Canis lupus familiaris: one gene and its partners. The protein of the gene in region 1 interacts with the protein of each later gene in a pairwise test. Links are inferred from orthologs where the notes say so. Each region holds a gene or a part of one and is shown in the gene's direction. Other genes may lie near its edges. The genes, in order: SS18L1, RFX6 and MAPK1IP1L.

The links.
Region 2: the proteins of SS18L1 (region 1) and RFX6 interact in binary tests that used the Homo sapiens proteins (3 or more experiments, as listed by UniProt). The two-hybrid records come from large-scale screens. The link is inferred for Canis lupus familiaris from reciprocal best matches to the Homo sapiens genes SS18L1 and RFX6.
Region 3: the proteins of SS18L1 (region 1) and MAPK1IP1L interact in binary tests that used the Homo sapiens proteins (3 or more experiments, as listed by UniProt). The two-hybrid records come from large-scale screens. The link is inferred for Canis lupus familiaris from reciprocal best matches to the Homo sapiens genes SS18L1 and MAPK1IP1L.

The regions. Positions count from the first base shown.
Region 1 is NC_049245.1:47,027,539-47,037,582, forward strand, and holds part of SS18L1 (calcium-responsive transactivator), read left to right. Parts: intron 1-3,506; coding exon 3,507-3,583; intron 3,584-4,257; coding exon 4,258-4,342; intron 4,343-5,688; coding exon 5,689-5,833; intron 5,834-6,393; coding exon 6,394-6,588; intron 6,589-7,436; coding exon 7,437-7,601; intron 7,602-7,975; coding exon 7,976-8,080; intron 8,081-8,691; coding exon 8,692-8,784; intron 8,785-10,044. UniProt on the Homo sapiens protein: Transcriptional activator which is required for calcium-dependent dendritic growth and branching in cortical neurons. Recruits CREB-binding protein (CREBBP) to nuclear bodies.
Region 2 is NC_049222.1:57,839,885-57,849,928, forward strand, and holds part of RFX6 (DNA-binding protein RFX6), read left to right. Parts: intron 1-36; coding exon 37-154; intron 155-2,187; coding exon 2,188-2,310; intron 2,311-3,091; coding exon 3,092-3,298; intron 3,299-4,427; coding exon 4,428-4,940; intron 4,941-5,786; coding exon 5,787-5,999; intron 6,000-9,750; coding exon 9,751-9,926; 3' UTR 9,927-10,044. UniProt on the Homo sapiens protein: Transcription factor required to direct islet cell differentiation during endocrine pancreas development. Specifically required for the differentiation of 4 of the 5 islet cell types and for the production of insulin.
Region 3 is NC_049229.1:31,201,532-31,212,216, forward strand, and holds the start of MAPK1IP1L (MAPK-interacting and spindle-stabilizing protein-like), read left to right. Parts: upstream 1-4,930; 5' UTR 4,931-5,081; intron 5,082-5,435; exon of another isoform or gene 5,436-5,645; coding exon of another isoform or gene 5,646-5,657; intron 5,658-5,963; exon of another isoform or gene 5,964-5,987; intron 5,988-6,220; exon of another isoform or gene 6,221-6,242; intron 6,243-6,258; exon of another isoform or gene 6,259-6,282; intron 6,283-10,685.

The DNA.
Region 1 (10,044 bases):
GGGAGCATCCTGGGCTCAGATCCTTCTTCAGCTGATCGGTACCCAGGCTCAACCGTCGTGTACCTCAGTTTCTTGGTGGAAACATGGGCGAAGGGAGCTCCTCGCAGGCTACGTTTTTGGCGAAGCAAGGTGACCTGGTCCCGGAAGGCGCTTGGCGTCCCAACTGCGGGTCTTCAGCCTCTGGAGCAGACACTGGACCGGATGTATCAGTGGCGACAAGGGTGTGAGAGGTTCACCCCAAATGGCGGTGACCGCGGGGAGTGCAGGGTCCTATGTGGAGGAACACGCGGCGGCTGCGTGGGCTCTCGAGACACGAGTCAGCGCCCCACCTTGGAGGGAGCACGCGCCTCTTCCCTCCACACGAGAGCCCAGTGGCCTCAGTGCCCGTGACTGGCCTCTGTGAGCGCTTCCAGCACGGAACCCAGGGAGCGACTCCCGCAGGCCCCGGGGAAGACAGGCGCGTGTTTGCTGGAGCGCCAACGTTAAGCATGTGTTCCTGTGTCCTTAGTTTCTGGAAATTGGGCACGTGCGTCAAACACGGAGGTGGTAGCACCACGAGGCAGGGACCAGCTCCTCCCAAGGACGCTTTGTGTTTGGGGTTTGTGGTCTTGAAACCCACACCTCACTCACGTGCTCGGCAGCTAGCTCCCCTGGGCGCTCCTCGGGGGAGCCTGATGCCACGGGCCGACCTCCCGCGCCTCCCCGGCGGCTGCCTGCGTGCCCCGGGCGCAGTGGGCAGAGGCCGAGGCCCAAGTGCAGGTGCAGCCCCCGTGACGCGCAGCCAGCTCTCTGGCCAGCCCGCGCTCTTCCCCGCACCTCAGGCTGCTCCTAGGAACCTCCCCGCGCCCGCCCTCCTTGTGTGGGAGGCGAGCTTCGTGGTCCCGTTTGTGTCCGCGAAAGGCACGAGGCCGCGTGACGCCCACGTGGAATTCGGAAACAGGAGCTTCGGGAAGAGCGAGGTGGGGTCTCCTGGGCCGACGTAGAAGGATCTCCAAGACTCCAGAACAGAAGGGACCCCCGTAGGCCAGAGGGAGGAAGCTGTTCCACCTGTGTGCACGGACGGGGGCTCACCCCCGCGGCTGCGAGTGGGAAGAGCCGAGGGGCAGATTCGGGAGAGCCCCCAAGACGAGGCTCTCCCCGCCACTCGCCGGCCACAGCTCGATGTTGACCTTTGGCCCCTCCAGGTGGTATTGCCAACCTTTTAGGTCATCTCTCCTCAGGAAGGCCCCCTCTGGAGTGGGTCGTCCCTCCTCGAAGTCTCGCTTGGGTTCGGTCACGTCTCCTCAGGAAGCCTCCCCCGGGCTCGGGCTGTTGCTCTCCACCGTCCGCCAACCTGTGCCCCGTGGAGCAGCTCCGTGCCGGGCTTTTTCAGTCTGTTCGTTGTTCGGATCTCGCCTTGTCCTGGCGTCTTGGCGAGCTGGCCCCTTGGAGAACGTTCTGATCTGGAAATTCATGCCCTTCGGTTTTGAGAAAACACGTTGAACAATTTTTCGGATGATTTTTCTCCCTGTGTTTTCTTTCTGGAAGTCCGGGAAGCATTGTTTCTTGCCACTTGGATCATTTTTCTAATTTTACTGTTTTCTGTTTTCTACCTTAGTGTTTTCAGTCTGTTCTCTGGGAGTTTCCTCAACCGCATGTTCCAACTCTCCGTTGACTGGTTGGCGCCGGTCAGCACGCGGCGCCTCGGGCTTTGCTCTCCGCAGTGTCCGGCGGCCTTTCCTGACCCGCTTTCCTGGCTCTTGGGGGTGGTCGGGGCTCTCGTGCGTCGCTTTGTAAGTTCCTTTCGGGGGAGATCACGTCTCCCCCGGGGCAGGGCTCCCTGGCTCGGCGCTTGGGGTCGGCCTGCGGCGCCACGGGTGCCTGCGGCTCTTCCTCACCCCGTCCGCCCCCCTGAGCGGCGCGCGCCCGGCTTCTGGGGGCCCCGCGGGGCCGTCTCCGCGCCTGCGCGCTGGGCTCTCACGTGTTGGCCGCCCTCGGGTTCTAGAACCCTGCCCACGGCCCCGACGCGCCCTTACTCGCCGAGGTCGCCGGGGTTAGAGGCCAGGGCGCCCGGCCGCGTCCCTGCCCGCCGTGGCTGGCCCCGTCCTGGGTGTTTTCCGCCCACTGGGCCAGTGCCCGGCCTCGCCGCGTCCTCTCCTCACCCCGACGGCGGACGATCGTGCCGTCTCGCGCTCAGAAAAGCCCCGGGCTGGTGACGGCCGGTGCTGCTGCGCTTCCGGTGAGCGTCTGGCTCCTCCACGTGCTTGAGCGGCACCTGCGGGGCTGAGGCGACCTGAGCCAGACCTGAGTCCCAGACCTGAGTGTGCTGTGCCTCCCGCCGCGGCGGCCCAAGGTCCCAGTTCTTCCCTCTCTGGGCGCCGCGGCCTCAGCCAGCCCCCAGCATCAGCCAGCCCCCGGCCCCTGCAGCCCCCGGCCCCTCCAGCCCCCGGCCCCTGCAGCCCCCGGCCCCTGCAGCCCCCGGCCCCTGCAGCCCCCAGCATCAGCCAGCCCCCGGCCCCTCCAGCCCCCGGCCCCTGCAGCCCCCGGTCCCTGCAGCTCCCGGCCCCTCCAGCCCCCGGCCCCTGCAGCCCCCGGCCCCTGCAGCCCCCGGTCCCTGCAGCCCCCGGCCCCTGCAGCCCCCAACCCCTCCAGCCCCGTGCCAGGGCAGCATCTCTGCCCAGCGGATGCGGCTGTGGCTGGCGGGGTCAGGCCGGGCCACCGGCTCTGCGGGAGTGGAACCCTGAGGTCAGGATGCAGCGAGGGGTACCCTCGGCCGGTGGCCCGTGACCCTTGGAGCCGAGCCCCCCACAAGGACGTGCGCCCTGGCGGCCGGCGCCGTTCGTCGCTGGCCAAGGCGCGGCTGTTCCTTTGGCGCGAGGCTCTGAACGAAGGCCCCCGCGGAAAGCGGCGCTCACCTTGGGCTCCCCTCCGCCCCTCCTTCCAGAGCAGGAAGCTGGGCACATGCGCGGCTGCAGGAAGAGCCAGAACCTTCTCTTCGCAGCCAGGGGGAGGACGCTGGCTCTGTGCCCGCCTAGCCGCCCCGGATGCCTGCGGACCCCGGGCCTGTCTCCCCCGCCCCCCCGCTGCTCCCACTCCCCCGACCTCCCTCCCTCGCCCCCCTCGGGTCTCCCCAGGCCATCCCGGGCGCTGTCCCCCTTCGAGGTCGTGGTGTTGCTCCACAGGGCCCGTCTCCCGGGAGGCACCGCCATGTGGCCCTGAGGCGGGGGGCTCCAGTCCAGCGTCCCGCACGTGGACTCCGCAGCCCCCTAGCTGGGCACACACGCTGGGGTCAAGGGCCCTAGACGGCGGGGAGGCCTGTGGGCCGTGGGTTTGCCTCCACCACGTGACAGACCTCGGAACCTGCCCCTGGGTTCGTGGGGGACTGACCGTGGCGCACGGAGGGTCGCGCTCAGCACAGCCCCGGGAGGCCGGTCCTGCTGGGGGGGTTGAGGTACGCCTGCACGCCGGCGACGGCGCTGTGCACCTGCTGGAGGGACGCCAGCCGTGCTCACTGTGCTTCTCTGCAGATGCTGGATGAGAACCACCACCTGATACAGTGTATCCTGGACTACCAGAGCAAGGGCAAGACGGCCGAGTGCACCCAGTAAGTGGCCGAGCGGCAGCGGCGGTCCCGCCCAGAGGATGGCCTCGCCCACTGGTCGCTGCCCAAGGAGCGGGAGGTTTGCGGGGAGATGGAAGCATGGGAGGCGGGCCGGCTGCTGGACACACAGGGGACAGTGCGCTCCTCCAGCTAGGACCTCGTGTGGCCCCCGGGCCTGGCTGCAGCAGGCCTGTCAGAGCCCCCGGGGGCCGGTGGCGGCAGCAGCCCCGTGTGCCTGAGGGTTTTCTCTGCTTCGGGGAGCCGGCCTCTCCAGGGGTGCAGACGTATCGAGTCAGCCTGGTGTCGGGGTCAGATGGAGGAGGCCTTGTGCGGAGTCTGCTCGGGCGTCTGCCTCAGCCTCTGTCCTCTGCCCCCCTGTGACCTCTCCTCCACCCCCTCCTGTTCTCTGAACAGACCTGGTGACCCCTCCCCTTGGCCCCCGTTTTGGGGTCTTTCCGCATGCTGTCATCAGATGGGATCCTGCTCAGGACTCAGGCTGGGGCCCGTTCCCTGCCTTGCCCTGTCTGACCACAGAGCATCTGGTGCCTGGCCTGTCCCTGGGCATCGCCTGCGCTCAGCATCCCCTTGGGGCTTGGCTGCAAGGCAAGGCTGTCCCCGGTAGACATCTTCGGATTGGCCTCCGGCTCCTCTGCCTCACCGTGCGCCCTCACCCGCAGGTACCAGCAGATCCTGCACCGGAACCTGGTCTACCTGGCCACGATCGCGGACTCCAACCAGAACATGCAGTCCCTGCTCCCCGCTGTGAGTGCTTGCAGAGGGGGGGACGGTGGGGCCCCGTCCTAGCCCAGCGCTATCAGGCGCTGCTTCGAACTGCTGGTTCGGAGAGCAGATGTCTGAGCGCGTTACCTGGAGTAACCAGGTAACAGGAGCATGGAAAGAGGGTGGGAAGCCAGTCAGAGTCTGAAGTGGACTGGTCAGAATTGTGACACCCGTTTCTTAAGCAAAGGGAGGTGACCCAAAGGAACCAAACCTCTAATGGCAGGAGGCGGGTCTTGGGAGAGCAGGGAGTGCCAGTGGCACACAGGATTCTTGCTCTTTATCGTGAGCCCTTCTGAGCGATTGGAAAAACGGTAGCCTGGGAACATATGCTGCTCTGATTCAGCAAAACTGCAGAAGCGCCCGGTGCAGTGAAGGCTGTAAACACCAGTGTTAATTTTCTTTAAATTTTTTGCTTAACTTTTTAAAAGTCTTTTTCCCAAAATCAAATTATTGCCGCAAAAGCAAGACCTAGTGGCGGCTGCCTCCTCCACAATAAACAGGAAGGCACGGCCTCAGGAGGGCCTGGCCCTTGCGGGACCAATGGGCAAGGAGGTTCCAGGACAAACCTGCCACCGGGAAGGGCTTCCTGCTGCCCCTAGTCCCTTGGAAGTGACTTTCTAAGTGCCGGCATGTGTTTTGCTGACAAAATCATTGCACCAGCCTTGATTGGCCTATGAGATTGGGACTCCTCAGCCTGGAGGTACCAGTGGATCCTGCTGGGAACTTTGTTTTCTCGGCCAGGTTAGGCAGCATATGGGTCCAAACCTTTGGAGGTGCTCTTTGATTTGGATTGAGGACATGAGATGCAGGGGTCACTCCATCCCGTTGCCCTCTATATCCTGATCAGAGGTGGGCTGGCAGCAGGGCAGGGCACACACAGAAGAGGAGCGACAGGAATGCCAGTGCTAAGGCACGGGGCAGTCTCTGCGAAGGCCCTGGGGCATGGAGTGGTGTGGATGAGGACATAGAACCCTGGCGAGCTGAGGGGCAAGGGTGTGGAGTAAGTTGAGGTAGATGCAGTCTGGGGTGCTGTATCCCCGGTAAAGAGGACCCATCTTTGAACTTCTAAGGATGTGTTGATAAGCTTGGAAATTCATTTAAGTTCTGAATGTTCACACAAGAATGCTTGGTGTATTATCTTGGCCTAAAAGGCTTGGGCCTAGTGATCCACCATCGTCTGATCAAGTATGAGAGCAGCAGTTGGTTCTAGACATTTGCCAGGTGGCCATGAGACAGGTGGATCTCACGGGCCACCAAATCTCTGGAGGGCTTCAGGTGGTTATTCTCTGGGTTAACCATCCTCCCTGTTACCTCCCTGTTGCCTGCAGCCGCCAACGCAGAACATGAACCTGGGCCCCGGAGCACTGTCCCAGAGTGGCTCCAGCCAGGGCCTGCACTCCCAGGGCAGCCTCAGTGATGCTATTGGCACGGGCCTGCCCCCGTCCTCCCTCATGCAGGGCCAGATCGGCAACGGTGAGTAGCTTTGAGCACCTCGGGGTTGGGGCTGGCTACTGGCAACCATGTCACCAACTCGGGCTCCCGGGTGACCACTGTCTCAGCAGGGTACCCCATGCCCCACAGAGCTGAGTGTGGGACCGCCCTCCTCCCAGAGGTCCTGGCTCCAGGTCGGCTGCTGTGCGCGGGCACACGTGTACCGGGAGTAACAGGCAAAGGGAATCCAGTACTTCCGATCCCGTGCTCTGCTTTGACGCTCTAATTGTGGCCATTTCACATTGTCGTGTGGGGTTCTGTGTGGATTTTTAAAATGAGAACAGAAAGGTTATCTTTGGAGCAAGAACTGTCCATAGCCATTGGGAGCTCTGACGATGATAACGGGCGAGTCCTCTACTTGGTCAGCACGTGTGTTTGTTTCTAATGACTTAACTGTTTACTTCATCTGTGGCGCTGTTGACCACAGGTTAGCCTCCCTCCCCACAGTCGCTGAAGGAACTCGGGTGTCTAGAGCAAGGCCAGGCCTGCCATCAGAGGTCGTCTTCGATGGGTTTCAGGCCCCCTCCCTGTGCTCCTGGCAGGTCCAAACCATGTGATGCAGCAGACAGCACAGAGCACGCTGCCCACCACCTCCATGAGTATGTCGGGCAGTGGCCACGGCACGGGGCCTGGCTACAGCCACTCGGGACCCGCCTCGCAGAGTGTGCCCCTGCAGGGCCAGGGCGCCATCGGCAACTACGTGTCACGGGCCAACATCAACATGCAGTCCAATCCAGGTACTGCTCTGCTCAGCCCTGGGGCGCCCCCTGCCCCCCTTCTACCCAACCCCAGGACAGTCCCCGAGCCCTACGAAATGTGTGCAGGCTGCACATTGTAGTCCTGTAGGGCTTCTGAGATGGCGGGAGACCCTGGGACCAGACCATCTGGGGTCTGGCTTTGTGGAAGGGTTTCCACTGTTCCCTGTGGTAGCTTGGGGGAAGGTTCTGCTAGGGGGTGGGAGGGAACTAAATCAGACTAACACAGGATGGGGGGACAGTGTAGCCAGACTGCAGAAGTAGGCAGGGTGCAGGGCTACAGACCCCCGCGGGCCAGGCATGGGGCTCTGAGCACTGGGTAGCATCAGGTCCAAATCACTGTGGGACAGTGTCAGGCACTGGATTTCAGAGATATGATAGAGAAAGGGAGAACATGTAGTGTCTACTTAGTTTATTTTTACTATTAATTATATACTGAAAATGAGGGTATTTTGAATATATCAAGTCAAACAAGGCGTATTACTAAAATAGATCTCACCTGTTTGCTTCTATTTTTGGCACGGCTCCCATCCCATCCCTTCCCATCCCATCCCATCAGATAGGGCTGCTCTAATGGGTTTTGAAGGCCAGGGGGCAGCGGCCATCCACCAGGAACCTTAGAAGCCCAAGTCTCAGGGCTGGGCACAGGCATGGCTCCTCTGGGACCTGTCTTAGGAATTCGGGAAGACAGGACATGTGTTTCTCTCATGCATGGAGGTGGCCCAGGAAATTCTTAAATCTTAAATTGGGAGAAAGGTGCCTGGGGTGAGGGGTGAGGACACCCGCCCGGGGAGCTTCTCGGGGTTATTTGGGTCTGTCGTGTCGCCCAGTGTCCATGATGCACCAGCAGGCAGCCTCGTCCCACTACAACTCGGCACAGGGCGGGAGCCAGCATTACCAGGGCCAGTCGTCCATCGCCATGATGGGCCAGAGCGGGCAGGGGAGCAGCATGATGGGGCAGCGGCCCATGGCGCCCTACCGGCCCTCCCAGCAAGGTAAGGCCCGTGCCGGGTCTTTGTCCTGAGAAGCTGGAGGGCGTGAGGCTTTGCACGTTCCTTAGGGTTGAACCAGGATGTCGGGGGTGTGGAGCCTTGTGGGGCTAAGGAAACATGGAAGGTTGTAAGCCAGTGCTGCTTCTGGAAGCAGACGAGGCTTGAGCCGGCATAGGGGTTGGAGTCGGGCGCAGGGCCCGAAGCAGGGACAGGACTGTTGTGTTTGTAAGTACCAAGTCCGGGGTACCCGGGCTGGATGTGGGGAGAATGCTTGGGTGGCCTGGGGGGTGTCCTCTGATCCGAGGCCCACGGGGGGGTTGCTCCCATAACGGAAGAATGTCCTGAGTTAATGACCCATGTGCACTGTCCGCCTCCAGGGTCCTCCCAGCAGTACCTGGGCCAGGAAGAGTACTACGGCGGCGAGCAGTATGGCCACAGCCAGGCCGCCTCGGAGCCCATGAGCCAGCAGTACTACCCTGATGGTGAGGCCCGCAGCCACACTGTCGGGCAGCCGCGGGGGACCGTGTGGCTGCTGACTGCCGCTCTCTGTCCTAGCCCTGACCTCCGCCAGCAGAGCACCCAGAGGCCCCTTGCTGGAGTGTGTTTGGGGATGAGAGTGAGGGCTTGTCTGCCAGTGGGCCGAGTCTGGTCTCCATGGAGAAGCTTCCGGCACAGGCCACAGCTACCCACGTACTGGAGGCTCTCCGTCTCCCTTCCCAAAAGGCAGTAGGGGCTACAGCTGGGATGAATAGGTGCATGTAGCTGTTCTAGAAGAAGGACACAGGTGTCATTGTGAAGTGCCTTCAGGAAGGTGACAAACCTGACCTGGCCGTTTGATCTGCTGCTCAGTTACAGTCTCTGCAGATTATTTTTCCTTCAGTGCTCAAGTAGGGTGATCCTTTGCATCTTAAAGGAGGGAATGGAGGCCAGGAGGCAGTAGGAAGCTCCTTCCTGGGTTTAGTGCAGGGAAAACAGATCCAGGTCCATGTCTGGCCGCTCCTGATCTGACGGCTTTGCCCAGTTCACAGTGTCTGCGCCCTGCGATCCGGGGGTCTCGGCCTCCGCTGACTGCATGTCATCTGTTTGCCTGCAGGACATGGTGACTACGCCTACCAGCAGTCATCCTACACGGAGCAGAGTTATGACCGGTCCTTCGAGGAATCCACGCAGCACTACTACGAGGGCGGTAAGGAGCGCAGGGGCCGCACAGCCAGCTCCGCAGCGTAAGCTGCTCGCACAGCTTGGAGTCTGACCCACACCTGCAGCAGGTGGTGCAGGGCTCTGTGAGGCACTGCATCCCCGTTCACGATGCAGGTGGGTGGAGGGGGCTTGGCTGGCCGTGTAGGGGTTGCAGGGGCACAGACTCCACCATGCGGCTCAGCTGACCAGCTTGGGGCCTGAGAGCTCAGTGGAACACGCTCCGGAGTTACGGACTCAGCCGGGGAGGTTCTAACACCCATGCCCCTCCTGAGTCAGTGGGCAACGTGTGTGGCTTCGGCCTGGGCATTTCTTCAAATACCAGCTGACCAGATAAAGCATGGCTTGGGCTAGGGGCCTGTGCAGCCCCCACCCCGGCATTCCCCCATGGTGCTGCCCTGGGGGCTGTTCATCGGAGGTGGGGTGAGGCAGTGATGAATGAAGCTGGCTTTATTGACAAAAACCCAATGACCAGCACACACCCGTTTCCCTGCTGCAAATACTCCCACCCGTGCTGATGTCCAGCCACCAGCATGACGTCACCACACACAGAACTGGGAAGAAATCTGCACAATTGCTTCTCGGCGGGGCCCCCATAGAGTGAAGGTACTTCCTGCCCTTGGGAGACCCCAAGAGAAGAGAAAACCATAAAGTCACCGGGCAACGGGACATCAGCCGGCTTAGCCCAGGCTTCCTGGCCCGGGTGTCAGAAGTGGAGACAATGTGAGGGTTGGTAGCAGGGCCCCTGGGGAAGGAAACCCCAGCAATAAACGTGAAATGGGCAGCTTGTGAATCCAGATGTTTTTGGTGGCTTTTTAAAAGAAATATACTAAAAATACAACAGAACTTACTATTTGAACCATTTCTGAGTATGTGGTTGAGTGGCACGAAGTGCATTCACATCGTTGTGCAGCTGTCCCCGCCGTCCGTCTCCAGATCTCGCTCCTCTTCCCAGACTGACTTCCCGCCCCTGTCAGCACTAGCTCCCCAGTTCCCGCCCCCGCACGGCCGCCGTGCCACCCTGTATCTCTGCGCGTGACGACTCTAGGTCCTTCATGGAAGTAGGATCCTTCAGTGTTGGTCTTTCTGACTGGCCGGTCTCCCCAAGCATGACAGCCTCAAGGTTCAGGTGTGTGGTGGCTGGTGGCAGGTGGCAGGAGTCCCTTCTTAAGGCCACATTGTGTTCTGCTGCATGGATGCTGCACGGTTTACTCATCCCTTCAACTGTCGATGGACACTTTCAGTTGCT
Region 2 (10,044 bases), on another chromosome or scaffold:
ATGACAGATTTTATAGTTTCATTTTCTTCCTTGTAGACCAGCAAACAAAATGGAAGATCATTAAAGAAGAGGGCTCAAGACTTTCTGCTTAAGTGGAGCTTTTTTGGTGCTCGAGTGATGCATAACCTCACCTTGAACAATGCATCCAGTTTTGGTATCCTATGTGCTTGATAAAGCTCTTCCTACCTGAATACATCATTCACTCTCCAGTTGCATTCCCTAGCAGTTTTTAAACATGTGGCACTGTAATTTCTCAAATCTATCGAGCCAGTAGACAATGGTAGTTATGAGCCTGGGTTTTGGAGTCAGACCGCATGCAGAGTTACATCCTAATACTGCTTCTCTCTGGCTTGGTTTTTACTCAAGTTGCTCTGCTCCCTATAGAAGGGGATGAATATTTACAGCAGCATTATCAACAGTGGCCAAACTATCGAAAGAGCTCAAATGTCTATTGGCTGATGAATGGACAAAGAAGATGTGGTATATATATACAATGGAAGATTACTCAGCCATAAAAGAGAATGAAATCTTGCCATTTGCAACGACATGGATGGAGCTAGAGGGTATTATGCTAAGTGAAATGTCAGAGAAAGACAAATACCACATGATTTCACTCATAAGTGGAATTTAAGAAACAAAACAGATGAATGTAGGGGAAGGAAAAAAAGAGAGAGGGAAGCAAACTATAAGAGATTCTTAACCCTAGAGTGTTCTTAGAGCAGCAGCTCAGGGCTTCTGGTGGGGATGTGGGTGGGGATGGACTATATGAGGGATGGGTATTAAGGAGGGCACTAGTTGTGTTGAGCACTGGGTGTTATATGTAAGTGATGAATCACTAAATTCTACTCCAGAAACCAATATTACACTGTATGTTAACTAACTAGAATTTAAATAAAAACTTGAAGCACAAAAGAAAAGAGGATAAATACTCCTCTTATTGGGTTGTGTAGGCACTTTAGTGAGATTTTATATATATATATATATATACACAAACACAGTGAGATTATATATATATATATAAACACAGTCTAGTACCCAGTGAACACTTAATGAATAGGAGCTATTATCATTACATCCTATTAGTGCTTGGATAAATTTTTTTTTTGTTAAACAAACAAGTAAACAATAATTAGTACATTATTTTCCAAAGGCACTACCCATTGAAGTATGGCAAATTTTTGCATCTTTTCCAGGAACCACATAACTGCACTCTGAGAATCAAAGAGCAGCCGAGAAGACATGTTCTCATATGTTTCTGAAACATCTTTCCTGATCGATTTGACTTGTGCCACAAACTGAGTCAAGTCAGATCTTCCAGAAATTGAATACTTTCATTTTCCTAAAATTTCTGGGATTCTTAGTTTGCAGCTATGATGCTAGCTCATGGACAGTACTTCTGCATTTAGTAGTAGTTGCTTTTCTAGAAATCTTCAAATTATAAATAGGTTATAGTTAACTAGGTTGTTTTTATTTAATTCTCAGTAGAATTAGATAAAATCAGTGAACTTGCATGGAGGGATGAATAAAACATATTGAGCCTATTATTTGAAATATCTTGCTTATATGTGAAGTTTCTTAAAATATACAACACCGAAGCCTGACTTTATTATGAAACCAGACTTTTGTTGGGAAATCGGTGGAATAGTCCAAAGAAGTTTAAGATTTTCCAGGACAACTTCCAAATGAAAATGACTCTTTTGTTTTTTTTCCAAACCAAAGAGAACTTTGTTTCAGGCCAGAAAGACATCTTTCTTGATACTTTTTTCAGACCATGGTGGCCATTGTCTAATTATTTAGTACAAAGTAAACAGAAATAGAGCAGAGTAGAGCTCATTCTCCCCAGGTTAAAGCTTATCACACTCCAATGTGTGCCCTCTTAAAGCATAAAGCATGTCTCACTTTCATCCGTATTTTCCTTTGATGTAATTAGTGGCCAAAGAGCTGGCAGGACAGTACACACAGTAAGCTGGGCAGGCGGTACACAGAAAGATTAGAGACTCAAGTTAAGCATGTTGGTCTTAGCAGGTCATTTAAAGTCCAACAAGTATTTGTTTATTTCAGTTGCTCCTTGTAAAGTGTTGTGAGATGGTCACAAAGATAACTCGACTTCTCTCTCTCTCTTTCCTTCTCCTTCTCTCCCTCCTTTTATCTCATAATGCCCTCTCCCCATTCCCATCCACAAACAAGGTTCTTTCCATTTGATCCGAATGCTTCTTGATGAATACATTCTCCTTGCCATGGAGACCCAGTTCAATAATGACAAAGAACAGGAGTTACAGAATTTATTGGACAAGTATATGAAGAATTCAGGTAATTTAAAATGTATATCTTATTTTTTGCATATTTCTTTCTTTAAACCTAAATTCAAGAATTTGTAAGTACACGTTGAGTGGGTCGATAAGTCTCAGTTTTTTTCCCCGAGTGTGTCACAACTAACAGAGGGTGTCAACACTATTGGAACACTAGTTTTTCTCTCCACCATTTACACATAGAGTAGTCAAAGGAGTTTACTGGAAGCTCTGGAGGATATAAAATTGATGTTCTTGGGAGAATTTACACGAAGGTAGAGAGGTGATTATAACAACAACAAAAAAATAACCATAATTCAAGACAACACCTGTGGTACACCACCTCATATAAATGGTGTAGAAATAAGTTCTATAGAAGTTTATTTTTTTTAATTTTTTAAGATCTCCGGTCTTCGGGATCACACCCTAGGCCAAAGGCAGGCGCTCAACTGCTGAGCTACCCAGGGATCCCCTCTATAGAAGTTTAGAGAAGGAAGAGAACATTTCAGTTTGAGATGTGATGACTTGCATTTTGAAGTCTGTCCACTCCAGAGTAGATTCCTAAGTGCTCCTCAGAACACACTTCACACTCACAACTGTGCAGATAACAATGACCACTAAACCCCAGCACCACTGCCATGACCAAACATCTGCCAGCCTCGTTTCCCATGGAAGATATTTCTCTGCAGTTGCCAGATTTATGACACAACCCTAAAACATTTTCAGTTTCCTTTTCTTGGGCTTATTTGTTAGGAATATGGGAATGATGTTAGCTTTCCCATTTAAAAAAAAAATCTTTCCAGATGCAAGTAAAGCTGCCTTCACTGCTTCTCCAAGTTCATGCTTTCTGGCCAACCGTAATAAAGGCAGCACCGTTTCCAGCGACACTGTGAAGAATGAAAGCCATGTGGAAACAACCTATCTTCCTCTGTCATCCAGTCACCCCGGAGGCTTACCCTCTGCTCTGCACCCATTCCCTGCTGGGAATACAGACAACATGCCACTCACAGGTATGCTGTGAAATGCTTGGGCCTCACCACATCTCCTTTATTTTCTTCAAAACTGATAACGTCTAGCCATTGCAAGATTTTAAAAGATTTGCCTTTCTATTAAAGCTTTATAATATTTTTGTGATTTTCATCATTTGTCATTCACGCTTTTATCAATACCACTATTAACATAGGTACTACACTGTGAGGTGGTCGTTTCGTTATATTGGAAGTACAGATAATGAGTTGTCTTCATTCAGTGGAAGAAAAAATTAGAGTAGGTATAAATAAGATTCTGAAGATGCCTTGAGAGTCAAAAAAATGGGATTCTTATTTATTTTTGGCTTCTGAGAAGATTTTCTTTCTCCCCCATTAAAAAGTAGATTTGGTCATTTTAGGATAACCACTTCAATAATTTTCCTCTTTGGTCTGGAGTCCCCGTTGTGTCAGTCTGAATGTTTAGTGGCTTGTACTCACTACTAGATAATACTGTTCTAAGTCCACTACTTGCCTTAATTCACAGATATAATTTCATTGGACACACAGAATTTTAATCCTGGAAGGCCTTTTAGTTCAGGGGCCTAATTCCACCAATGGAGAATCAGACACCAAGGAACTTGGTGGCATCAAAACTCCATTGTTCATCAGTGGTGTTTGCATGATGTTTTGAATTGGCTGCTTTGAAGCCATGCCATTTTGACCTTATTGCCTTTTTCTTTTACCCTAAAAATCAAACCAGTTAGCATTCAGCTTGTTTTTTAATTATGGAAAATGTAAGAACAGAGCCCTTGACCTTCCCATGCTTGAGCTCTAACCGTTTTCGTACCCATGGAAGCATGAGGCCTTCCCAAACTTTCATGCATAATTACTAACTCCAAAAGTCTTCACTGTTGTGAAATAGACATGTATTGTGATGGTTTTATTATTTATTTATTTATTTATTTATTTATTTATTTATTTATTTATTGTGATGGTATCTTTGAAACCTAGGTTTTTGGTGTTCCCCAAAACACCAGGTTTTGTTGTTTTTAGAGAATAGGAATGAACCAAATCGGGAAAAATATTAATAAATCTTTTGAATAATTTTTAAAGATGTGCACCCATCTGTTTTAATATGCCACTGGTGAATGCTGCAGTAATTTTTTTCCAGGTCAAATGGAGCTTTCCCAGAGCACTGGTCAACTGATGACACCCCCCATTTCTCCAGCCATGGCAAGCCGAGGAAGCGTCATTAACCAAGGGCCAATGGCGGGGAGACCTCCAAGTGTGGGCCCAGTCCTGTCAGCCTCCTCACACTGCTCAACATTCCCAGAGTCCATCTATCCTACCCACCCTCAAAGCAACCATGACTTTTATGGGACCAACTCTAACTATCAGACTGTGTTTAGGGCACAGCCTCACCCCCCATCAGGACTCTATCCTCATCGCCCTGAGCATGGTCGATGCATGGCCTGGAGTGAACAGCAGCTTTCTAGAGACTTCTTCAGTGGCAGCTGTGCTGGGTCTCCATATAATTCTCGACCACCTTCCAGCTATGGACCATCCTCACACAGCCAAGATTCACACAGCATGCAGTTTTTAAATACAGGAAGCTTCAATTTTCTGAGCAACACAGGGGCTGCCAGCTGCCAAGGAGCAACATTGCCTCCGAATTCACCTAATGGTATTGAAATTTTAAAGAATTTTTCCTGGTTCTTGAGATGGCAGTAAGGCAAAATCAGACATTGAGCTCTACCTCTGCTGAGCAGCATGTCATCCCATGTAAAGTTTCTAAAGATCTTGGAATGTTAGGTGTTTGAAGCTCATTTCTTTCATATACAAACATATATCTAATTCTTGTGGTTTTTTTAAAGTTGCCCTTCTAAATCCCCAAATGATAAAAATATTAGGTCAAACGTGTGTTTGAGATCTCCCTTAATAAGCCCAAAAGAAGAATGTTTTGTCCTTTGAAAATATTCCTATTGAATAATGTTTCTTCTAGAGAACTAGCAGCAGATCTTACAGCTTAGGACCCAAACAGTGCTCCCTGTTAGTCTGATAAAACACTTAAAGTTTAGGGAGTTGGAAAGATCCGTGACTTCAGCTGCCAAAGCAGCTCTGCGTCCTCTTTCCTAAATGTAGGCCAGTCCTTCTTCCAGAAACACAATTCTGTAGATACAACTGGTATTTGACAAGCAGTGTAATCTTTGCGAGAGGTTAGTAGTGCTTTTTTTCTTTAAAAGAAGATCTTGTTAATGTAGATGAGGAGAATATGAGAGAGATGTAGTCTTTTATCTGAAAATTAGCAATAGAATAACTCCTTTGTATTTTTTAAAAATAAAAAGCCAGCATTGTGAACCATAGCCATTATACAAGCACAAATCCAATTCTATATAGTAAATGTAGCTGTGAATGTCATGTTTATAATGCAATATCTTTAGGGCTCTACTCTATTGCCTTGTCCCTTTTCCCTTCCTGTAATATTTTTTGTAATAAGTGAACAGAACATTCTTGACATTTTCTGTTCTAGGATACTATGGAAGTAACATAAACTACCCAGAGTCTCATAGGCTTGGATCGATGGTGAATCAACACGTTTCCGTCATCAGCAGTGTTCGCTCACTGCCTCCCTACAATGACATCCACGATCCACTTAACATTTTAGATGACAGTAGTAGAAAGCAGACCAGCTCGTTTTACGCAGACACATCGCCTTCCGTTGCGTGTCGAACTCCAGTAGTAGGTAAATTATTTTAGTAGTTCTTGGAGACATTTTAAAAAGCTATGAATATCAGGTATGTAGTTTTGCTCTGGAGGGTGACTGTTGAGGTGAGCTGGGCACTCATGCTCTCACGGGTGATCTATCCCTTTGGATCTGAAGTCTAATTTTTGTATCTATTGATAATAGTCTTCCCCGTTCTCAGTATATATGTCACTGTGCAGCCTACTGCCAAATCTGTTATTCTTTAAAAGAGAATAGCTGGCACCTTTTATGTTTGCAAAAAAGAAATATAACCCATCAGCCATAGTCTAAAGACTTTACCTTTTATGAAAGCAGTAATGATGTCTTTTTCTCCCTCTTTCTGATTCACTGTTGGATGCAGGGGCAGTGCCAAGAGGTGTCTTTGGACCCCATAATCTCCAGCAGTACCCTAAACCACTCCAGGTTCAAAATAATGGTGATTTGTGATAGAGGTTACTGTCATTTTCTCAATAATATGTAAAATGTGATTAGACAGCTTTGCAGAAAATGTTGCTCCTTTTATTGTTCTGCTACATACGGTTTAAGTAAAAAATGAGCAAAACTGTGTGTTTGCCATGAAGTCCCCTCGCATCTTCTTCTAACTGGGTTGCTCTCCCTGGGAAAATCCTGAGACTTGTACTAGATGTGTTAGCAGTACCCAGCTAAGTGTCTGCCACATAGTAGGAACTCCACACATCAGTGAGTTGGAAAAAAAGGGGCAAAATACATGGGTAGAAGCAGTTTCCTGTATTAGGAATAAGGGATCACATGCAAGTATAGATGCATGTAAGTGTCAAGGCAGAGTGTTAATGTTTATATGCGATGGTTGAAATCTTCCAATGGAATGGATTTCAAGCTAGGATAAGTAAAGGGCTTTGACACCCAATGGGAGCATAAGGGAGAAGGAGACACATTCCATCTCTCCTCCTCAGTGTGCTTTTCCAATAACTCAATAGGAAGCACCTCTTCCCTTCCCGTGACCATTACAGATGCTCCCTGAGCAGAATCTAGCAGCTCATCTCCTGTTATCTGCAGATGGTCATTGCTTCTAGGTTACTCTAATGAAGCAGAAAATTCCACTTCAGGAAGTTTCCTCACCGTGAGACTAAAATGTATCATGTTGCTATTGTTACTATTAGTTCTGTTTACTTGTAGAGATAGTGGAAGCTTTGCTGGAACATAGCTTGGGTGTAGGATGGATTCTAAGCTCTAGTCATCAGAGGTGGCTTACAGGTAAATGGCAGAGAGGGCTTCTGAGTGAAGGGAGGACCCACTGTCTGCTTCCTTAGTTATAAAGCCTGGTTTTCAGGGACAGCGAAGAAGGTAGTCAGAAAAATGAGAAAAACAGCAATGAGAAGCCAGCAACCACACATGCAGGAAATGCAGTGTCAGAGAGCCAGTTGGTCAGATTCTCAGGAACTTACTAACATGTGCCAAACTTCATTCTAGGCATTGAGGTTATGGTGGCAATTGGGATGGAATTCCTGACTATAAGAAGTTTACATTCTAGTGAAGAGAGATAGAGCAATGGGTATATAGACAAATGCATTACAAAGATAACGTTGGATACTCTGAAGTCAATTAAATGGGTAAAATGACAAATAATGATGGAGAAACTGCTTTCAGTCAGATAGTTGGGAAAGGAATCCTGAGGCAGGGATATTAGAGTTGAAAGCTGAATGATGAGGCAATGACACAAAGGGCTGAGGATGGAGTTCTAGGCAGAAGAAATGACAAGTGCATAGTCTCTGAAATGGAAACAAGGAAAATTCAGTGGGCAGAAAGAAAGCCAGGGTGTTTTGAGCATAGTGAATGAAGACAGTGTAAAAAATAAATCAGTGGCCAGAGACCAGTTCACAGAAGATGTTGTGAATAAGGGCAGGAAGCTTGGATTCTGTCCTGCGTAGTGGGAAGTCATTGTAGCATTTGAAGGAGAGTGACAATTTACTGTATACTTGAGTGACATTAACCTGGCAGCTCCCTGCAGAATGAGAAGGTGCGGCAAAGGTGAGGTCATGAGACCAGTTAGGAGGCTGCTGTGTTGGTCCAGGTAGGAGAAGATGGTGGGTATTTTGTTATTTTTTTTTAAGATTTTATTTATTTATTTATTCATGAGAGACACAGAGAGAGAGAGAGGCAGAGACACAGGCAGAGGGAGAAGCAGGCACCATGCTGTGGGGGGGGGGGGGGCCTGACGTGGGACTCGATCCCAGGTCTCCAGGATCAGGTCCTGGACTGAAGGTGGTGCCAAACCGCTGAGCCACCCGGGCTGCCCTGTTATTGTTTTTTAAATTTAGAATAAATTAGTTAATATACAGTGTATTATCAGTTTCAGAGGTATAGTGATTGATCAGTTGCACTCAGTGCTCATTACCGCAAGCACCCTCCTTAATGCCCATCACCCAATTGCCCCATCCCCCCACACCTTCCCTCCAGCAACCTTCAGTTTGTTTCCTATAGTTAAGAGTCTCTTATGGTTTATCTCCCTCTCTGATTTTGTCTTATTTTATCTTTCCTTCCATTCCCATATATTCATCTGTTTCTTAAATTCCACATGTGAGTAAAATCACACAATATTTGTCTTAGCATAATACCATCTAGTTCCATCCACATTACTGCAGATGGCAAGATTTCATTCTGTTTGATGGCTGAGTAATATTCCATTCTACATATATACATCTTTATCCATTCATTTGTTGATGGACATCTGAGCTCTTTCCATATTTTGCCTATAGTGGACATTGCTTCTAGAAATACTAGGATGCGTGTACCCCTTCAAGTCAGTATGTTTGTATCCTTTGGATAAATACATAGTGTAATTGCTGGATTGTAGGGTAGTTCCATTTTCAATTTTTTGAGGAACCTCCATACTATTTTCCAGAGTGGCTGTACCAGTTTGCATTCCCACCAACAGTGTAAGAGGAATCACCTTTCTCTACATCCTTGCAAACATCTGTTGTTTGCCGACTTATTAATTTTAACCATTCTGACTTGTGAGAGGTGGTATCTCATTGTATTTTGATTTGTATTTCCCTGATGCTTAATGATGTTGAGCCTGTTTTTCGTGTGTCTGTTGGTCATTTGTAGATCTTCTTTGGAGAAGTGTCTGTTCATGTCTTCTGACATTTCTTGACTGGATTATTTGCTCTTTGGGTGTTGAGTTTAAGAAGTTCTTTATAGATTTTGGATACTAGCCCTTTATCTGATAAGATATTTACAAATATCTTCTCCCATTCTGTAGGTTGCCTTTTTGTTTTGTGGATGCTTTTGTTGCTGAGCAAAAGTTTTTATCTTGATAAAGTCTCAGTAATTCATTTTTGCTCTTGTTTCTCTCGCCTTTGGAGACATCTAGCAAGAAGTTGCTGTGGCTAAGGTCACAGAGGTTGCTGTCTGTGTTTTTCTCTAGGATTTTGATAGATTCTTGCCTCACATTTAGGTCTTTCATCCATTTTGAGTTTATTTTTGTGTATGGTGTAAGAAAGTGGTGAAGATGGTGGTTTGAACAATGGAAGAAGTATGGGTGGAAAGAGGAGGTAGATTTGGGATATATTTGGGTGATAAGGTTGTCTGAATTTAAGTTTGAAATTGAGTTTTCTTCATGAAATCTGTAGAAGGAAAAACAATTTCTAGGAAAATAGAATAAATATGTGTGATCAATGCAAACATAAACATAGAGACTTAAAGTGAGTGGCACTTGCAAAGAAAAAAATGTCAGTCAATATTCAATTGCTGATTATATTTTCCTTTACAGCATCCAGCTTGCAAACCCCAATTCCTTCCTCCTCATCTCAGTGTATGTATGGAACTTCCAGTCAGTATCCAGCTCAAGAGACCCTGGATTCCCATGGAGCGAATGGTAGAGAAATGGTGTCCTCTTTACCACCCATCAACACTGTGTTCATGGGAACAGCAGCTGGAGGCACTTAAACCAACAATGTTGGGTGGGGATTGAAACCAAAAATCTCTACTGCTCAACTACTATTCACTCAGATTGCTATCAGGGTAAAGAAAATGGAATATACAGTGACAAAACATTGTTTTTCAA
Region 3 (10,685 bases), on another chromosome or scaffold:
ATTTTTCTTAAGCTTTTTGGAACAACCCCACCACCACTACTATGCTTTTTTTTTTTTTTTTTTTTTTTTTTGAGCTATAGCATCTTGATTCATACTCCAATTCTTGAAATATGCTGAATAGGTTTCTTTTTTTAGATTCCTTGAGCATTTTTGTATTGAAGAATCCTATGTGATCTTTCTATAGCCATGCCATTCACTTAAATAATTCATAGAGAGAATGGTTTAATTTAAAGGAAGACCTAATAGGAAGAAGATTAAAGGAAGCTTTTAGTCAGCCTGTGGTTAGATTTATTGATTTGGTGAACAGAACTGTGTTCTTTCCTGAATTTCAGCTAATGGTCAAAGAATGGCTTTCACTTAAAGTTGTGACTTATTATAAATAATACAAAGAATGTCTTAGTAATTAGAAATCCTTTAAAAAGTAGAGTAAATGTGGCCAATAGAACTCATACAAATTCCATTTCTTTTTATAAGAAAAACACAAACCATTATCATTTATTCATGAGCCAAAGCCATTAAGAAGACAAATCAAGTTACCAGCTTCCTGTCTCTTTGAAGTTTGGATCATTTTATAGGCCTATGTAATAGGTTTCTTCCTATGAAACAAAAACCTTGAAACCTAATTCATAAATATACTCTAAGTTTTCATTTAAAAACTTTTGTCACTTTTAGCTATAACGAGTCAGATTATGTATTAATTTTAGTAAATTTCACAGGAAAGTAGACAATTATTTCTGGAGACAGCACAGGGAGAACAATGTTTAAATCTACAAAAACCTGTGTGTTAAGTAATACCTAAATGAATAAAAGATTTTAAGTCAAGCAGACTATTGTTTCTATTTTGGAAAAAAAAAAAAAAGATCTTTACAATTTGCTTTAACCATAATCAGTTTCAAATTTTATTTCTAAAGAATGAACAGAAAGCACAAAGTTCTTTTTTTTAATGACCTGCTAGAGGTAAGCAATGCTACAAAAGTCTGCCTATACCATTCTAATATATTAAGATATTGGGCACAATGGAGGTAACTTTTTAATGGATTGGCTTCTATGTAGAAATGTAGACTAATGAATAAAGCCCAATGGAAAGGGATTTGGGGCACATGAATCCTATTTCAAATATAAGCAATCTATTTTTGTTTAATTTTGAATAGATAATCCTAAATCTTGATCTTCATCTCCTAGCATATAAAATGTAGATAAATAATACTTGTGACTTGATTTCCTGAAGGCTAATTCTCCACTTAAGAGGTGACTATTAGAGCATACTTTTAAAGTAATTTCTGTAATTTCTTAAAAATAATGTGATGATAGATTTTCAAAGTATCCCCTTAGTAGACCCTGCAAATTCACATTCACTTCTGATAGTCTGTAATAGGCTTTCTTGGCTTGATTTGACGATAGAGATAACAGTACAATTTGGATTTATAGTTTAGACTCTGGAATTGGATGAACAATTGTAGTTTCCTCCTACCCTTAATAAGGTTTAGTAAAATTGATGTTTGCCTGTTATTTTAAAGTTGATTACATTTGCAGGAAGTAAAGATAATCACTTTTGCTGTGGTTATAATCAAATCTAAGCTTTCAGACTTAAAATAAAACTCACGGGGGTTTACTTAAATTATGCTGACTTTGCTAGGAGTGAGTGACTCAATTCTATGTAAGCCAAGTATGAACTTGATATATACTTGAATATACAGTTTAAGTAGTAATTTCACAAAGCTGTTAGTACTCTTGTCAGTTGGGCTTGTATGAATCCTCCTCTTACCCAAAAAGAAGTAGACTGTTTGCATTTTTATTTCTAATCCTGAAGTTGAATGTTTCTTCTTGGATGTGAGTTCAAATAAATTGATCTGAATAAATTTTCAATTCTTAATTAAAACTTCATACATAAAATCCAAAGGCTTTGTATATTGTTTTTAAAACATGGGCATCCCGGGTGGCTCAGCGGTTTAGTGCCGCCTTCAGCCCAGGGCCTGATCCTGGAGTCCGAGGATTGAGTCCCACGTTGGGCTCCCCGCATGGAGCCTGCTTCTCCCTCTGCCTGTGTCTCTGACTCTCTCTCTCAAGAATAAATAAATAAAATATTAAAACAAAACAAAACAAAAAGATAAAACATTGTGTGCCCTAGGGCTGCTGGGTGGCTCAGTCAGTTAAGCATCTGAATGAATTCTGCTCAGGTCATGATCTCTGGGTTATGGGATCAAGCTCTGCCTCTGGTTCTGCACTTGGGGTGGAGCCTGCTGAAGATTCTATCTCATCCTCTCTGCATGCTTGCTCTCTCTCTAGAAACAAAAAACACTATATCCAGACTTCGCACATTCAACTTAGAATCTAAAAAAGGTGGGGACATGAGTTAAGCATCGGACTTGGTTTCAGCTCAGGTCATGATCTCAGGGTCCTAAAAGCCCCACCAAACAGACTCTACTTGGGTTTCTTTCCCTCTCCCTCTGCCCTTCCTTTCCCCCACCCCTTCATTTTCACACTCTTTCAAATCTTTAAAAAAAAAAAAAAATTTTTTTTAAACTGAAAATTTTTAAAAATCCAAATTACACGTTTTCTAATTTATAATACATTTTTTTGTCCGTTTAGTGTGTCAGTTTAGGTCTTCCAGAAGCAGATGCCAAGATGTGATTAAATGTGCAAGAGACTGAAGGAAGAAGATGTGGAAGTCTTCCTGTCACTTTGCAAGTCTGACCTACATGAAAAATGCAAAGATTAGGTAGGGTGGGCTTCAGACTGCAGTGCAGTTATGAAAAGCTAGGTGGGGATTTAGTTACCAAGCAAAGGTTGACAAGGGCAGTCCACATGGGACAGGAATGGCCTAGCTCTAGAACTCAGCATGCTACTACTGGCTAAAAATATGGGAAAACGAGGCAGTCACCCTGATATGTCTGACCTGGACTAGGTGAAGTGAATGAGACAATTTGAGCGCAAAATATTTTTTACCCAAAACCTCAGCAATGAAAAGCAATATAACAATTAATTTGGGGATCCCTGGGTGGCGCAGCGGTTTGGCGCCTGCCTTTGGCCCAGGGCCCCGATCCTGGAGACCCGGGATCGAATCCCACGTCGGGCTCCCGGTGCATGGAGCCTGCTTCTCCCTCTGCCTGTGTCTCTGCCTCTCTCTCTCTCTCTCTCTCTCTCTCTGTGTGTGTGTGACTATCATAAATAAATAAAAATTAGGGGATCCCTGGGTGGCGCAGCGGTTTGGCGCCTGCCTTTGGCCCAGGGCGTGATCCTGGAGACCCAGGATCGAATCCCACGTCGGGCTCCCAGTGCATGGAGCCTGCTTCTCCCTCTGCCTATGTCTCTGCCTCTCTCTCTCTCTCTGTGTGACTATCATAAAAAAATTAAATAAATAAATAAATAAATAAATAAATAAATAAATAAATAAATATTTTTAAAAAATTAATTTTAAAATCAGAAGGGGACCGAGGGTGGCTCAGTCAGTTAAGCATGATCCTTAGGGCTTCCGCCCAAGGGCTCAGGTCATGATCCCCTTTCTCTGCCGCTCTCTTTCAAATAAAATCTTAAAAAATAAAATCAGGGGCACCGGCAACTCAGTGGTTGAGCATCTGCCCAGGTTGAGCATCGTCATCCTGGGGTCTGGAGTCCTGGGATCAAGTTCTACATTGGGAATCCCAGCTCAGCGGGGAGCCTGCTTCTCCCTCTGCCTTTTTCTCTGCCTGTGTCTCATGAATAAATTTTTAAAAAATCAGAATTAAAACAACAACCTAATGAAAAAAGGTCAAGATTTTATTTTTTAGGATTTTATTCATGAGAGACACAGAAAGAGGCAGAGATATAGGCAGAAGGAGAAGCAGCAGGCTCCATACAGGAACCCGATGGGGGACTCGATCCCGGAATTCCAGGATCACCGCTCAGGCCGAAGGCAGACGCTCAACTGCTGAGCCACCCAGGCGTCCCAGGTCAAGATTTTAAATATAGTTTTACTGACGTCTGCTGACTCAGGATTCCTTATAGCTCCATAAGGCATTACAGATTCACTGCCTCCTGACGGCAGGGTAAGTTGTTCACACTAATGTCATTTTCCATAGACCATTTTCCCTGTCCAAAAATAGGTCTTCCCCAGGCTTGGGTATTTGCAGTTTCTCTATTGCCTCTTTTCCAGTAGGAGAAGTGTGGGTTCTGGTGGAGCATACCCAGGAATAAGTCTTCCTTTAAGACGTTTCTAATAAAATGCCCCTGCCCAGTGACCCACTAAGGGGTTACCCAAAGAAGCAAAATGTACTGATACCGCATATTTCTAGTGTAGTTTTACATATAAAAATCTATGTACATACTGTATGTATATACATTTTGCACACTATATAATTACGGCAGATTCCTTGACAGCCGGGGGAATGTGTCAATCATCCTACAGACCTGACCCAAAGTAGGTAAAGGTTCTTTCAAAGATGAACATGTGGGGCCCCCTTCCCCGTATGGCTCCTGTAGCGCTCCCCAATTTCGGCCCGAGGGCCGGGATTCACTGGTTGGCCGCATTCACAGCCAGCCGGCATCCAAGCCCGGCTGTAAAAATCTCTAAGCGTAGGAAATCCAGAAGCAGTCCTCAAACCAGTCCAGGAAACAAGCTAGCAGTTTCCGCCGAGGTGCCCAGAACGTCACTGGCTACAGGCATTTCCTCCGAGGGCTCAGAATTCCGGAAAACCGGGGAGCGGTCCTCCCTCCCGCGGGAGGAAAACAGCCGCCCCGGGGCGAGCGGGAGGAGCAGCCGCCCGGCCCCGCCCCGCCCCGCCCCGCCCCGCCGGGCAGGCCGCAGTGCAGCGCGAAGCCTGCGGGGGGCGCCCGCGGCCGCACCCGGCCCGGGGAGGAGGGGGGAGAGCGCGCGGGGGCGGCGCGCTCGGCGCTTCCTGTTCCGGCGCCAGGAGGAGCCGCGCGCTGTTAGTGCTGCCGCTGCCGCCGCCGCCGCCTCCGCCTCCGCCGCCACCGCCGCCGCTGCTGCCGCCGCCACCGCCGCCGCCGCGCTCGTCAGTCAGTCCGCGTTCGGTTCTTCAGCACCCGATTCCCCCGGACCCATCGCCGCTTCTAGACTTTGCTGCGGGCTCGGATCTGGCCGGGTGAGGCTGCCTCGGCGCTAGTGGGTATCGTGGAGGGGGGCAGGGGAGCACGCCCAAGCGGGAGACGGGCGCGGTAACAGAGGAACCTCGAGTCGCCTCTTCAGGGGCCGGGACTAAACGTCGGCCCCCGCCATCTTCCCTCAGGCTGCGAGGTGCCCCCCGATCGCCCCCCGGGAGGAGGCGTCGGAGGCGGCTGACGTCGCGCCGGACGGGTTTCTCCGCACTTGACGTCAGGCCGGGTTTGGGGGCGGGGCGGCGAGAGGGCCCGGCCCCTCCCCCACCCTCCCCACCCCCACCCCTTTCCGGGCGGCGCGACCCGCTCGGCGGCCGGTTCGCTCCGGTTGATCCCGGACTCCCTTTGTTCGTTGGGCCCTGAAGGCTTCCCGGCTCGCGCCCCCTCGGTCCCCTCCCCCATTCATTAATTTCTAATAAAACGGGAGCGAGGGGCCTGAACAGCCTTGGAGGAATCTGGCACTTGTTTAATCAGATTGTCCGCCGTGTGACAACGTTCCGGTCGTTAGTTGCCGAAGGAGTTGCTACACAGATCCTATTCGACGAATACACATGACAGAAGCCGTGAGTTCGGCGACACTCTCTTTCTTAGGATTTGGGGGCTTGTGTTACGCATGGAAGCTTATAAATAGCTGAGCCGTTTCCTCTTCGAAAACCAAAAGCAGTGCTTTTACTGGTTAAAAATTTCTAATGTTGAGGCATCAGACCGTATTCCCCTGACGGGAAAAAAAAAAAAAAATTACTGCTGAAGAAATACACACTCTTACACACCTGATGGTTGTGAAGGCATGTTCTGTAAAGGAGCCTCCTTTTACAGGCCAAGGTAGCCTTCGGAGAGCTTTCAGAAGTTCTTTGTTCGGCTGTATTCACTGGGCAGCAACAGGAATTTTTCTGGTACTGGCGTCTCTGAACCTCCTATTTAAAACTAGTTTGTCTCAGCGACTTGAGTTGGGTTGTGTGTGTGAGAATGTTCTTTTCTTCTCTCCAGAAGGAACAGAGAGAGACCCATTCCTTAACTGCAAGGCTCGGGGCCGGTATGTTTTGGAATTCAGCAATCTTCGAATTGTGTCTTTAGATTTTAGAAAGAGTAAGATGCGTAGGCCAGAGGTGTCACCCTCACAAGGTCCCAGCAGCATCCCTGAGACTACGGTAATAATGGTGCAGGGATAGGCGTGACTTCATGGAAACTGTAAATATCCTCAGGTCACGTTTTGCCACCCAACTAAGTTTTATGCCAAATTCTGGAATTTTCCTTTTCTTTTCAGAAGTTTCCAAATCGAGAACTGCAGATAAAGGTTTGCAGGCCTGTGACCGCGATTGTAAAAGTTAACGTTTGTTGAGTTTTCCTTGAGTGCCAGAGAGAGACCAGGAGATTTATTTTGTCAGTCTGGGGGCAGGTCTGCAAGGTGGATACTACTCCTGTGTACTTAAACCTCTGGAGTTTGAAGAATTCAACCTGTCCATCACCTGCCAGTGAAGAGCTAGGGTTTTATCTACGCAGCCATAACTTTCAGGGTCATTCTTTTAATCTCTGCTGCCATGCCCATGTAGGAAGAAAGACAAGGGAATATATATCTGTTGCCCATCCACTATTTTTTAGAGCACTGTTATTATAGACACTTAATTTATGAATACCATTTAGTCTTTCGCATCACTAGCCCTTTTATAGTTGAAGAAACTGAGTCACTGGGGTGAGCTGAATCTGATTGAGACATTCAAACCTCAGTTTAAAGGCTCTCTGCTAAAACTTCTATCCCTCCCCTCTCTGTATTCCAACCAATTCGAACTGCTTATATTTCCCATAGCGTATTCTTGCCTGCTTTAGCTTTTGCACGGTCTGCTCTTTCCCGGGGCCTGTCCCATCATCCCCTACTGCCAGCTCTTCATTGTTCTCCCAGACTGCAAAGGAACCTCTTCTCAGGGTTCCTCCCCTTATTCTCCTTTCCTTGATTCCTTTAGGTGCCCTTTAGGTACTCAACTTGGTGCCCTGGGCTTACCCAAAGTAAGGTAGTTACTATTTAAAGGATAGTTCAGGGGGGTTCCTGGGTGGCTCAGCGGTTTACCACCTGCCTTTGGCTCAGGGTGTGATCCTGGAGTCCCAGAATGGAGTCCTGCATCGGGCTCCCTGCCTGGGGCCTGCTTCTCCCTCTGCCTGTGTCTCTGCCTCTCTCTCTCTCCCTGTCATGAATGAATGAATAAATAAATAAATAAATAAATAAATAAATAAACTTTAAAAAAAAAAATAAAGGGTAGTTCACCAGATTGTGAATTCCTTAAATGTCTATTCTGTGTAGTACTCTTCATTTCCCCAAAGCCTAACAAGACAGTGCCTGGTGTGTATATTCCAGGCATAAGTATAAAAAAAATGATACTTTAAAAAATTATGTCTTTTGGGACGCCTGGGTGGCTCAGCAGTTGAGCATCTGCCTTCAGCTCCAGTTGTGATCTCAGAGTCCTGGGATCAAGTCCCCACATCGGGCTCCCCGCGGGGAGCCTGCTTCTCCCTCTACTTGTGTCTGCCTCTCTCTGTGTCTCTCATGTATGAATAAATCTTTTAAAAAAATAAAAATTATGTCTTTCAAAAGCTTAAGAATATTCAAAAACTTTACTAAGTCCTCAGTTCCTTGAGTTGTCCAAATGTAAAATGGAATGTATCTGATAAGAGAGTCAATAATAAAAATGATCAAATATTCTTTTTTTTTTTTTTTTTAAGATTTTATTTATTCATGAGAGAGGCAGAGACGTAGGCAGAGAGAGAAGCAGGTTCCTTGTCAGGAGCCGGATGTGGGATTTGAACCCAGGACCCCTTGATTGTGCCCTGAACCACCCAGGTGCCCATAATCAAATATTCTAATCAGAAATTTATATTTTCAATATGTTACCATCATATTCCCCCATACTAAACAAATCAGTGCCAAAGTCTTGATTTCTCAGTTTCTTTTTTTTTTTTTTTTTTTTTTTAGAGGTGGGGAGGGCCAAAAGGAGAGGTTTCTTGGGGGGGGGGTTGTTTTTAGATCTTATTTAGAGAGAGTGGGCGGGGTGGGAGCAGAGGGGAAGAGAGAATCTCAAGCAGACTCCTCTCCTAGAGCACCCAGCCCCACCTGGAGCTTGACCCCATGACCCGGAGATTATGACCTGAGCCAAAACCAAGAGTGGGATGATCAACTAACTGAGCCACCCAGGCATCCCTCTTAGTTTCTCTTAATAAACATCTTATTTGTCTGTAGTACATTATAGATTATTAAACATGTTACTTTTAATTTATCTGTGAAGTAGTCAGGAAGTAAAACTTTTGCAGATGAGCGGTGGTCTATGGTTAAGCTTGCCTTAGTCAAAAGAGTCAAAGGATTGATTTCCACATTTCATAACTGTCTAGTCCTGTGCTCTTGACACTCCACCACAAATTGTGATGGCCCTTTGAAATATTCCTTGATGGGTAGTCACTAGTAATTTACAGAGTTTAACTTGTTTTTAGAACCTCCTGGTCGGATGCCTGGGTGGCTTAGGGGTTGAGCGTCTTCCTTTGGCTGAGGGTGTGATCCCTGTGAGGAGCCTGCTGCTCTCTCTATGTCTCTGCCTCTCTCTCTGTGTCTGATGAATAAATAAGATCTTTAAAAACGAATAATAAAAAATAAAATAAAATCTACTGGTAATTGGATTTCCATTTGACTCTAAAAGCCTTAAGAGTGGGGATCCCTGGGTGGCTCAGCGGTTTAGCACCTGCCTTTGACCCAGGGCATGATCCTGGGGCTCCAAGATCGAGTCCCACATGGGCTTCCCTGTGTGGAGCCGCCTTCTCCCTCTGCCTGTGTCTCTGCCTCTCTCTGGGTCTCTCATGAATAAATAAATAAAATCTTAAAAAAAAAAGCCATAAGAATTACAGAAATGTTTTACTTTTCTGAGGTATGTCAAAAGAAATTTTGTTCTGCTTTTAAGTTTCTGTTTTTACTGCTCAGATAATAGAATGACTTTCAGTGGATACATCATAGATCTTGCCATAAAGTAGTAATGGAAAGTTTTAGAAATAATAGCTTTACTGTATTCCAAAAAGAAAAAATGAAAATCTTGATTATGATTATAAACTGGGGCGGGGGGGGGGCGTTCGGGGTTACTTTGGCCTCATCTAATTAGCATAATCCAGGATGCCTAGGTGGATCAGTTGGTTAAGTGTCTGACTCTTGATTTTGGCTCAAGTCATGACCTCAGAATCCTGAGACGGACCCCCACGTAGGGATCCATCCACATTTGGCGTGGAGCCTGCTCAAGAGTCTTTCTTTTTTTTTTTTTTTATTTATGATAGTCACACAGAGAGAGAGAGAGGCAGAGACACAGGCAGAGGGAGAAGCAGGCTCCATGCACCCGGGAGCCCGACGTGGGATTCGATCCCGGGTCTCCAGGATCGCGCCCTGGGCCAAAGGCAGGCGCTAAAACCGCTGCGCCACCCAGGGATCCCCCAAGAGTCTTTCTTTCTCCCTCTGCCTCTACCCCTACCCTCCCAAAATAGCATATTCTAGGTATTTTGGAATAGTTTTTTAGAAGAGTCTCAATTTTAAAAAATTACGCAAGTCTTCCTATATTGAAACACTGCTGACAGGACACCTGGGTGACTTAGTGGTTGAGTGTCTGCCTTTGGCTCAGGTGGTGATCCTGGGGTCCTGGGATCGAGTCCTGCATTGAGCTCCCTGCTCCCTGCAGGGAACCTGCTTCTCCCTCTGCCTGTGTCTCTGCCTCTCTCTCATGAATAAATAAATAAACTCTTAAAAGAAAAAGAAACACTGCTGTCCAGCTCTGCTTTTTACCTTTTATGATGCAAGTAAGTAAATTAGAATGTTTCCCATTAATATGAACACTGCATATTCTAGACAATGGAGAGAAGGTCACTTTACTAAAAGTTCCTATAGAACAAGAAATGATCTACCTCTAATCCCTTTAGTGAGGGCTTCATTACTTAATCATAAGATTCTAATACCTCCTTTTTCAGGATTTTATTTTTAACTTCAAATTTTGAAAGCCAGAGTTGTGAGTCAGTTTAATATTATTAACTTACGGAATAACTTACACTCTAATGTAATTTTACAACTAGTTAACTTTATATAGTGTTTGTATATATATATTTTTTTAACTAAGAGGGAAAAGAGTAATTCTGAAAACCTGAACAGCAAGCAAGAGCACATGAATTTGAATGGATTGCTTTGTTAGTTCTCCACTCCAGAATTAATGTGAACTTTGATACAGAACCATTTTCTGTTTCAGAAAGGTTCACCCTGTTTGAAAAGCATGTTACTGTCTTATGTAGACTTTAAACTTGTCATGCACTGATAAAGTTTTTTCAGGTGTTCATCCTAAGAATTTACTCTTGTGTGATGTAAGGTTTTAGTACAAAACCTTAATGTGGGAATGAATGGATAGTTGTATATACTATATATTCAAAATGTGTTTTTTGATATTCTGAATAAATAGCAAGATTATGGCAGTTGTAGGCTTCACACTTTGTCTTTATCATTCCTGTTAGCCAATTGTACTTGAAAATAAAACTAAAACTGCAAGGATGGCTCAGTATTAAGCCGTTTTCATGTGTAATTAACTATTCAT